Linked DNA regions of Caenorhabditis elegans. The protein of the gene in region 1 purifies or fractionates together with the protein of each later gene. This does not show direct contact. Each region holds a gene or a part of one and is shown in the gene's direction. Other genes may lie near its edges.

What was found.
Region 2: the proteins of W10G11.1 (region 1) and ctsa-3.1 fractionate together in Caenorhabditis elegans (co-fractionation; one large-scale study listed by BioGRID). This does not show direct contact.

Annotation. Positions count from the first base shown.
Region 1 is NC_003280.10:3,559,152-3,562,320, reverse strand, and holds W10G11.1 (T20D4.11-like domain-containing protein), read left to right. Parts: upstream 1-1,628; coding exon 1,629-1,730; intron 1,731-2,100; coding exon 2,101-2,508; intron 2,509-2,561; coding exon 2,562-2,615; 3' UTR 2,616-2,669; downstream 2,670-3,169. Other genes in the region: W10G11.3 (T20D4.11-like domain-containing protein), read left to right, coding at 1-381, 433-501; W10G11.2 (T20D4.11-like domain-containing protein), read left to right, coding at 699-803, 927-1,325, 1,390-1,443.
Region 2 is NC_003280.10:7,230,620-7,236,643, forward strand, and holds ctsa-3.1 (Serine carboxypeptidase ctsa-3.1), read left to right. Parts: upstream 1-2,233; 5' UTR 2,234-2,234; coding exon 2,235-2,401; intron 2,402-2,920; coding exon 2,921-3,083; intron 3,084-3,541; coding exon 3,542-3,678; intron 3,679-3,728; coding exon 3,729-3,867; intron 3,868-3,909; coding exon 3,910-4,001; intron 4,002-4,055; coding exon 4,056-4,223; intron 4,224-4,264; coding exon 4,265-4,448; intron 4,449-4,496; coding exon 4,497-4,835; intron 4,836-4,880; coding exon 4,881-5,216; 3' UTR 5,217-5,301; downstream 5,302-6,024. Other genes in the region: aqp-1 (Aquaporin), read right to left, coding at 5,309-5,489, 5,537-5,867, 5,913-6,024.

The DNA of each region.
Region 1 (3,169 bases):
GAAAACATAATCAGACTTGATATTTCCAACAAAACCGGCCCCACAAAAGTGATCGAAATCTGTATAAACTTCAACCGTTGCCGCCAGACACTCGATTGTCAACCCGACAAGGTTTTTGCCATCGTTGTCAACACAGGCCTAATGTTCTGCGAGTACGCTCAGTTCTTCCTCGATACATTCGTCCCTTGCCAGGTCAAGATTGACGCCAAAGCTTCCGAGTGCTCTAAAAACTGGGATCCCTACCCGAGTGAGATTTCGGATAAGGAGAAGATGGCAAAGATTCACAAAGAGGCATGTGATAACCTTTTCGGGAAAGACAATTGCCTAGAAAAGGAAATCACAGAGACATGCGGAGTAGAGATGTGGAAGGGGTTCCGGAAGGTGAGTTTGAAGTTTCAATTGTTAAGTGAAATAATACTTTCGATGTTTTAGAACACTCTAGCAATGAAGACATTTATGGGAACATGCAAGTTTGGAGAGGAAATAACCATACCGAAATAATTAATAGCACCATATTTAAAACGTAAACACTCCTGCCTATTGATTTTTTTTCAAATGAATAATTTTATATCAAGTTGCCATAGGTTATCAAGTGATAGACATTCTTTGATCTATCTGTTCCTGGTCTGGTATATCATGTCTATAAAACTAGTTGCCCGAAGATTTTCAACATTCACTTTTCACGTTTCGAACTAAACATGTGTCGACATTTGGCAGTATTTATTCCTATCCTGATGTTTCTGACGGCGACGTGTGAAGATTCAGATTGTACCAAAGGCCCAGAACCTACAAAATGCTTGGAGGTAAGTTATGTGGTCTTGAATGGAAGATGTTATTCGAAACTGTTATCACTGAGACTTTTGTATGTTAGATTGAAAGAGAAGCTTAGATATCGAACATTGAATTTAAACAATTTTTTCTCACAGGTTTTAAAACAAATTGCTATAAACTCGAAAGAATTCGATATTTCCAACAAGACAAGCGCCAAGACAGTGATTGAAAACTGTGAAAAGTTCAACCATTGCCATCACACTCTCGACTGCCTTACCGAAGAAAAATTTGTCTACGTTGTCAACGTAACTTTCATGTTTTGCGATTACGTTCAGTTTTTTTCCGGACCCTTTGTCCCCTGTCAGACTACGATTGAGGCTAAAGTTTCCGAGTGCAATAAGAACTGGAATCCCTTCCCAAAAGAGACTCCGGATCAGGAGAAAATGGCTGAGGTTCGGAAAACGGCATGTGACAACTTTTTCGGAAAAGATAATTGCATGCAGAAGGAGATCACGGAGATTTGCGGAGCAGAGATGTGGAACGGGTTCCGGAAGGTGAGCTTCATCTTCAGAATTTACAGATAAAAAAATAAATTTGTAGTTATATTATAATTTGCAGATTCTGCTCGCACTCAACACTGCATTGGGAGCATGCAAGTTTCAAGATCATTGAATATTAAATTTGTTATTATTATATCTTACGGAAATGATAAATAGCAACGTATGAATCAGTTGATATCAATTCGTCATAAGTCATCAACTGATAGACAGTCTTTGATCTATCCCTTTCTGACCATATCATGTGTATAAAACTTGTTGACCGAAGTGTTTGACACTTTTTGCTTTGTGAAAGAAAATATGTTTGTAACATTTCTGACTATTCTGATATTTGTGGCGGCGACATCTGAAGCCCTAAATTGTACAAACCCTGGAGGTCCAAAGGCCGTGAAATGCTTGGAGGTAAGATTTTAATTTGTTTTTTAATTTTCACCAAAAAGTAACCTAAATCTTATCAGTTTCCAGATATAGTTGGGCATTCTTAACTTGATTAAATTAAATTCGTAGAAAAGTATGGTAACTTTGACGTGTTCGAAATTATTCGTTGAATGTCGCTTGAGTTGAAAAAACTTCTGTGAAAAATCAGTCACGTTCGATGGGAAGTTTCAGGCTTAGGCTCAGTCTCAGGCTGAAGCTGGGCGGTGGAAAAATTTTTAAAAAATTTTGAAATACATTTCGCGACATTTGGTGACATTACTTGAATAATTCCATAAGATTAGCCTAAAAACAGAAGGAACTAGGTTGCAGCAGTCTTAAAAATACTCAACATTAGTCTTTTCATGTTTTCATCGAACTGGGTGACAACGCAAAAGGCTTCAATATCTCCAACAAAACCAGCACCACAAAAATGATCGAAAACTGTGGAAAGTTCAACCGTTGCCGCCGCACACTCGATTGCCTGATCGAACAAAAATTCGTCTACGCTGTCAACATAACCCTCATGTTCTGCGATACCGTTCAGTTCTTCTCAAAACAGTTTATCCCTTGCCAAATACTACTAGACGCTAGAGCATCAGAGTGCTCTAAAAACTGGAATCCCTACCCGAAAGAGATTCCGGATAAGGTGAAAATGGCAGAGATTCAGAAAGTGGCGTGTGAGAACTTTTTCGGGAAGCATGGGTGCATGCAGAAGGAGATCACGGAGACATGTGGAGCAGAGATGTGGACCGGGTTCAAGAAGGTTAGAGGGTTGAGGAGTGTTAAAATGTAAAATTATATGTTAGTAATTTCCAGAATAATCTAGCACTCAACACAATAATTGGAGCATGTAAGTTGGAAGAGCGATAGTTGATAAATAAATTTTTATGTGTTTTACGTATTCAAATAAATAAATTGGTGAACGTCATCGGGCATCAGAAGGTACTTTGAAAAAATGAAAGTATAGGAAAAAATGCACAGCGGGCCAAATAAGCTCCTAAACTCGCTAAACTAAGTATCTTCAAACTGGCGTATCTCAAAAACTACACGTCTACTAAACAATTGTTTTATTAACAAAATGTTTAGAAATATTTTTTCTTTCTTGCACACTAATTTTTCTTTTAATACACCAACTATTTGTAGAGTTACACAGCGTCAAAGCCATTTTCCCAAAAATCACAAAAAATTTTGAGAACTCTTTTGTTGTACCCTTTATAACTCAACTTCCATTAAATTTCAAAAAATAACTTTTGTTGAATAATAAGTTAAAAATATTTCTCCACATTTTACCAGTTGAAAATTTTTTGATATTCCTATGTTCCACCAAGTTATAGACCGTTTTCTGAAAAAATCCATTTTTGCTCATAAAACTCTTCATATCCAACGTATCGACTTGAAATTTTGAAAAATGTTCACTTTTTTGA
Region 2 (6,024 bases), 3.7 Mb from region 1:
TCGAAGGCAAATTGATTCTTACGTGAATTTTTTAATAACTGAGAATTCGATCGGTTTTTCAAGTGATTTTAAGGAAATAAAAAGTGTCACGCGAGAATGAAAATTAGGTCCACGTTTTAATTTCAGATCTTTTCAAAACAGAAATCATCAAAAATGAACATGATATTCGTAAATAACGTGTTCTCAGCATTCTAAAAACATATTTTTCGACCCAAATATCCCAATTTGATTTTTTGCCATTTTCCGAAAGGCAAAAGTCCGATTTCGTTTTTTGGAGCGGAGGACGATTTTGGAGATGTGTAGAAATTTCAAAATTTTTTTGATGGGACTTGATAGAGCACCAAAAAATGCGATGTTTCGTCCACATTTCAAGTTTCTGCGTTGGATATGAAGGGTTTTATCGATGAAAATGGATTTTTCTGGAAAATGGTCTGTAACTCGACTGAAGTTTGAATTCTTGGAAAGATTTTGTGGAGAAATGTGAAAAAATATCTATAAACCCTATTTTAACTTATATGACATTCATAACTTGCTTATTTCATGAGATACATCCGTTTCATCAAAATTAGTTTCAGATTATTTGTGCAATTTTGTTCATGGATTACTATCTCTAGGAAATACCAACCTTACTGGTGCAAAACTAGATGCAAACTGTAGGAATTGAAATTTCAATCAATTTCACAGCAGGCAGTTTCTTTTGAATATGCTTAGTTGTCAAAATACTCCTGTTTGAAATTTCTAGAATCTAAGAGTGGCAACAGTTTTTCAGGTGAAAAGTATATTCCAAGAGTTGCCAGTCGGAAAAAACGCTTCAAAATTGTATGAAAAGTTTACAGAGCTTCAGTTCATATTAATATTTTTTGTTTTGTTTGAGAAATTCAGCTTAAAGCGAGAAAAGTACCTAACTCTCAATTAATGTTTCCAATTGCTATATAAATACCAATTTTGTGACAAGTATATCTTGAAAAGCAGAAATTTTTGCACAAAATGTTTGACTGAGAAATTAATGGAAAATATCTTATCTGTCTGTCACAAAAACCTGCTTATTGATAAGTATCCTAGTTTCAGAGATACATGACTTCAAAGTTATTTTACCAAAAAACGTCCAAAAACTTTGGTTCCTCTTCCGTTACAACGGTGTATCTACCACAAGAAAGATTTTTGTGAGATATTTTTATTGATTTAACATTTTATAGATATTTTCAAAAATAATCTGTAAACTTTTTTCAAATAACTTCAACTTCAATATAGGTTACAGGCCATTTTCCAAAAAAAATCCATTTTCATCGATAAAATCCCTCATATCCAACGTAGAAACTTGAGATTTGGATGAAACATCGTAATTTTTGGTGCTCTATCAAGTTCCTTTAAAAAAATTTTGAAAAATCTGCACATCTCCAAAATCGTCCTCCGCTCTGAAAAACTAAATCGGACTTTTGCCTTTCAAAAAATCTACATTTGAAAAGAAGGCGTGGTCTAACGCACGTTTTTCCCCGTGAATGGCGGAACCCTGATTGTCATCGGCTGCTTTATTGTTTTAAAATAGCATATTTTCTCAATTTTACTTGCACCTGTGGTTTGACGGCTTATATCTCGGTTGCCTTAACGTTTATCAAAAAATTTTCAACAATCAAAATATAGAGAAAAATTTTGTACGTGTTTTGTCCGTTGACACTTCTTTAATATGACTAAAGACAACTGAGATACTGAGACTGAGACTGTCAAACAAGAGCAAAGGGGTCTAATAGGGGAAATACGGTCATTTTATTTGTCAGAGACTTTCATGATTTACAGGTTTTAAAGGGCTAAACTGAAACAGCTACAATGAAGCGTGATGAAAAAATTTGTCACTTCAAAAGCGTACTTCCATATTCTAAGTTTCTAAGTTTGAAAGCTTTTTCGTGGAGAATGATCAGAACCAAAAAGTTTTCTCTATTTCTTGTCATTATTTGCTCTTGACAGGTAAACCCAACCCACATCTATTCAGCCAGAATTGTAGTATTTTTTACGACTCGAACTTTGTTTCCATACTGGCACTCGCAACACATTTTTTTCAATACGACACCATAAAAAGGATGGCTTCAAAAAGCGAATTATTATAGTGATAAGCATATTTCTTCTTATCAATTAGCAACTCTATGCAACCTTCATTTCTTTAGAGTCTACCGCATTTTTATAGATTTTTTATTACGATTTTCATTAATTCTGATCATTGAGAGTCCATTTTATTCAGAATGTGTCGAACTCTACTTGGTGTAGCTTTTCTAGTTGTGACGGTCCTATCTCAAGGAGAAAAGGATTTGATCCAGAATCTGCCCGGTCTTTTGTTCAAAGCCAATTTCAAGTCATATTCTGGATATGTCGATGCAAATGCAAATGGAACATGGAAAATGCATTATATGTGAGTTTTATATTCTCGGCAAATCTGGAAATCTGAAGTCTTATTTTCAAGTGAACCATTAGTGAATGTATTTTTTTCGAATTCATTAGTTCTCAAAATTTCTCAAAATTCCAGCTTTTTGCTTTCATATAGTTTCTTAGATCTTCTTTGAAAAGTATACTCCTTACTCGAATGCACGTTTTTTTTGTGAAATTTCGCAGTTTACACAATGATTGAAGATCATTCTATTTTCGGAACTCATTGAACTTCAAAACGTATTTCTCATCAAAATTTCAAAAGTTCCCTTGAAATGTCATTTCTCAATTGAATAATCATCAATTCATTTTGTTGTCACTATTTCTTCTGTTTAATTTAAAATTTCCACCTCACGAAGCATCAAGTAGTCATCTAATTCAGTCATAATTCTTGTGTAATTCTCTGCAAATACAATTAAAAATTTACTGATAACGTTTTTCGCTGTCCATGCGAAAACTGATAAAATTATTGGAAATACAAATTAAAAAGAAATTGTGCTTCCAGGTTGACAGAATCTCGATCAAATCCAGATACTGATCCATTATTGGTATGGTTCAATGGAGGGCCAGGATGCTCATCTCTTGGAGGACTTTTCGAAGAACTTGGTCCATTTTATGTTAACTTTGATGGACAAACTCTTTATGAGAACCCATATGCATGGAATGCGGTAATTATTATTTTTGGGGAAAAGGATAAGCTGTTTGCAATTCCAAAGACCAGAGTTTTATTATGTAGTTAAAAGAATTTCAAATCAGATTCCTGTAACACTCGGTTGCCTATGAAAACCGAAATGATAATCATAACTTTCAGTTTAGACTACAACTCTTTTCGATCAAAGGCGGTTTGCTAATTACCATTCGAAGACCACGTTATGATATTTAGTTCTCGTTGAATTGATAGAGAAAAGAAAGTTTGAATAGAAAATAGTCTTGCTTACGCAAATTTCAAGTTTTATTGCTTTTTGCAATTTATCGTTGAAACCTCATTTATTGTATAGATAACAAATTTAGGCACATAAAACACAACTTTGTGTAGTTTAAAAATGAAACCAAATTGAAACATAAAAAGGGACAGGGACATGTATTAGGATAATAAAAACTATAAATTTAATATTTAAAATTTCAGAAAGCCAACGTTCTCTACTTAGAATCCCCAATTGGAGTTGGTTATTCATATGACACTACTACTCCAGGATACTTCCAAGCTAATGATGATCAATCAGCTGCACAGAATTATCAGGCTCTCACAAACTTCTTCAATGTGTAATTGAATTTTAAGTCTAGATACGTAACAGAAAAATGTTAAATTTCAGTGCTCAACCTAAATATACGAACAGAACATTCTATCTTTCTGGAGAATCGTATGCAGGAATTTATATTCCAATGTTGACCGATTTGATTGTACAAGGAATCAACAATCCCAATCAACCCTTTCCAAACAAAAACTTCCAGGTAAAATAATTACACAATTACTTCAAAACATGTCTAATTTAGGGTTCTGCAATTGGAAACGGATTCATGAATGTAGCTGGACTTCTCAATGCCCTTACCCTTTGGAGTGCCTACCATGGACGTGTCTCTGAGCAGTAAGAACATTTTAAAACTGTTTTGTTCGTTTTAAACTGAACTTATTTTTTCAGGAATTGGGCCGACATCAAAGCAAACTGTTCAAAGGGAGCCGACGTTGACAGTTTTGATTTCTCTCAATTCACAACTTCTCAAAATAAAATTGACTACGTAGGAGATGGCTCATACTGCGGAAACCTCATTCAACCACTCATTTCGCAAAACGCTTTAGGAAATGAAGGGTATGAGATTTTGTATTTTATATATTTAACGTAATTTTCAGATTTGACCAGTACAACTTCTACCAAGAATGCTATGACAAATCTGTCTTTCAAGCCCCACCACCAGCTGGAGGAAAGAGACACAAGAGAAGTGCTATGCAAGGAGTATCTTCGGTCCAGAAGAACTTGCAATATCAACAACTCGGAAACTTCCAAGGAACTTCCAATTTGGCAAAGAACACTGCTGTTAGTTTATCTTAGTTTGTTAATTGAAACGCTTGCTTCATTGTTCAGACTCTTGTCAACCGTTTCTCAAATGACAATCAATTTGGATATTTTTGCTGGAATGAAGATGCTGTGTCAAAGTATTTGAACAGTGACAATGTGCAGAATGCTCTCAACATTCCACAAGCATGGAAGGATCAGAAAAACACATGGGAAGATTGTAGAATGTCTATCTATAATAATTATACTCTGAAATACAACACTACCAATCGATTCTTCAACAATATCATCACAAATCTCACAACCGACTTCCGTTTCTTAATCTACAATGGAGATGTCGATACTGTTTGTAACTATTTGGGAGATGCCAAGCACATTCTTCAAGTTGCTAAAGATAATGGACTTACCGTAAGTCACTTCTACCGTTAAATAATATTCCAATTATATTTTAAGAGTGGGCCACGTACCCCATGGTATTACAGTAACAACCAACAACTTGCTGGATATGTTCAAACTTACTCTGGCAAAAATAAGAACAATGCTATGATCACAATTGATCTTCTGACTGTAAAGGGAGCGGGACACATGGTTCCATATGATCGTGCAGGACCATCAGTTCAAATGATCTCCAACTTCGTTTGGGCTCCAAAGAATGTTGTTATCAACTATACCAGTCAAGATAATTTCAATCCAAACATTCAACTTTCTGATTTGGTTGACAGTGGATCCTCATCAACTGTTGCTTTCTTCATTTCTATGTTCGCTGTATTGCTCAACATCGTTTTCTAAGTTTTTTTCTAATTTATTGATTCAAGACTATATATGTAGTAATGTTTTTTAAACATTTGAAAATTCAATAAAAATGTACATAATTATTAGATTTAAGCTTGAAGCAATTTTTGTTGCTCTACAGATTTTGGTGGTTGTTGAACAAAAATATCGTCGGCTTCTTCGATGTCAGGATTGTGCATTCCAAGGGAGAAATGATAGAACCATCCACCGACAAGAGCACCAACAAATGGAGCAATGGCTGGAGCTAGCCAATAGTTAGGGTATGGAGAGCTGAAATCATTATATGAGATATTTGTGAATTGACACTGTGAACTAACTGGAAAACACCTGGACCATAGATAAAATAACTGAAGAGTCGTGGTCCGAGATCTCTTGCTGGATTAATTGGATATCCAATGTTCATTCCAAATCCAGTTCCGATCATCATTACCAAGAATCCGAAGAACATTGGATGCCAAATTTTTGGAATTTGATTTCTCTCATCAATAACAACGCAGAGGAAGTATGCGAGAACTCCGGTACCGACGCACTGATCAATGTATGGACCCCATACTCCAAGATTTGGAGATGGATAACTGGCAAAGCAACCAGCTGTTCCAGTAGCTCCGAGGATTGTGCGATTACCTCCATCAAATGCATTGAATTGTTCTGAAAATTTCAAAATAATTTCAACAGGGAGAATAAGTAGGATACCATAGTAATAAGAGTACATTCCAAGAGAAGCCACGAAAGCTCCAGCGGTTTGAGCAATTGCGTACAGTGGCACCCAAGCAAGTTTGAGATGACCAAGAGACCAAAGTAGAAG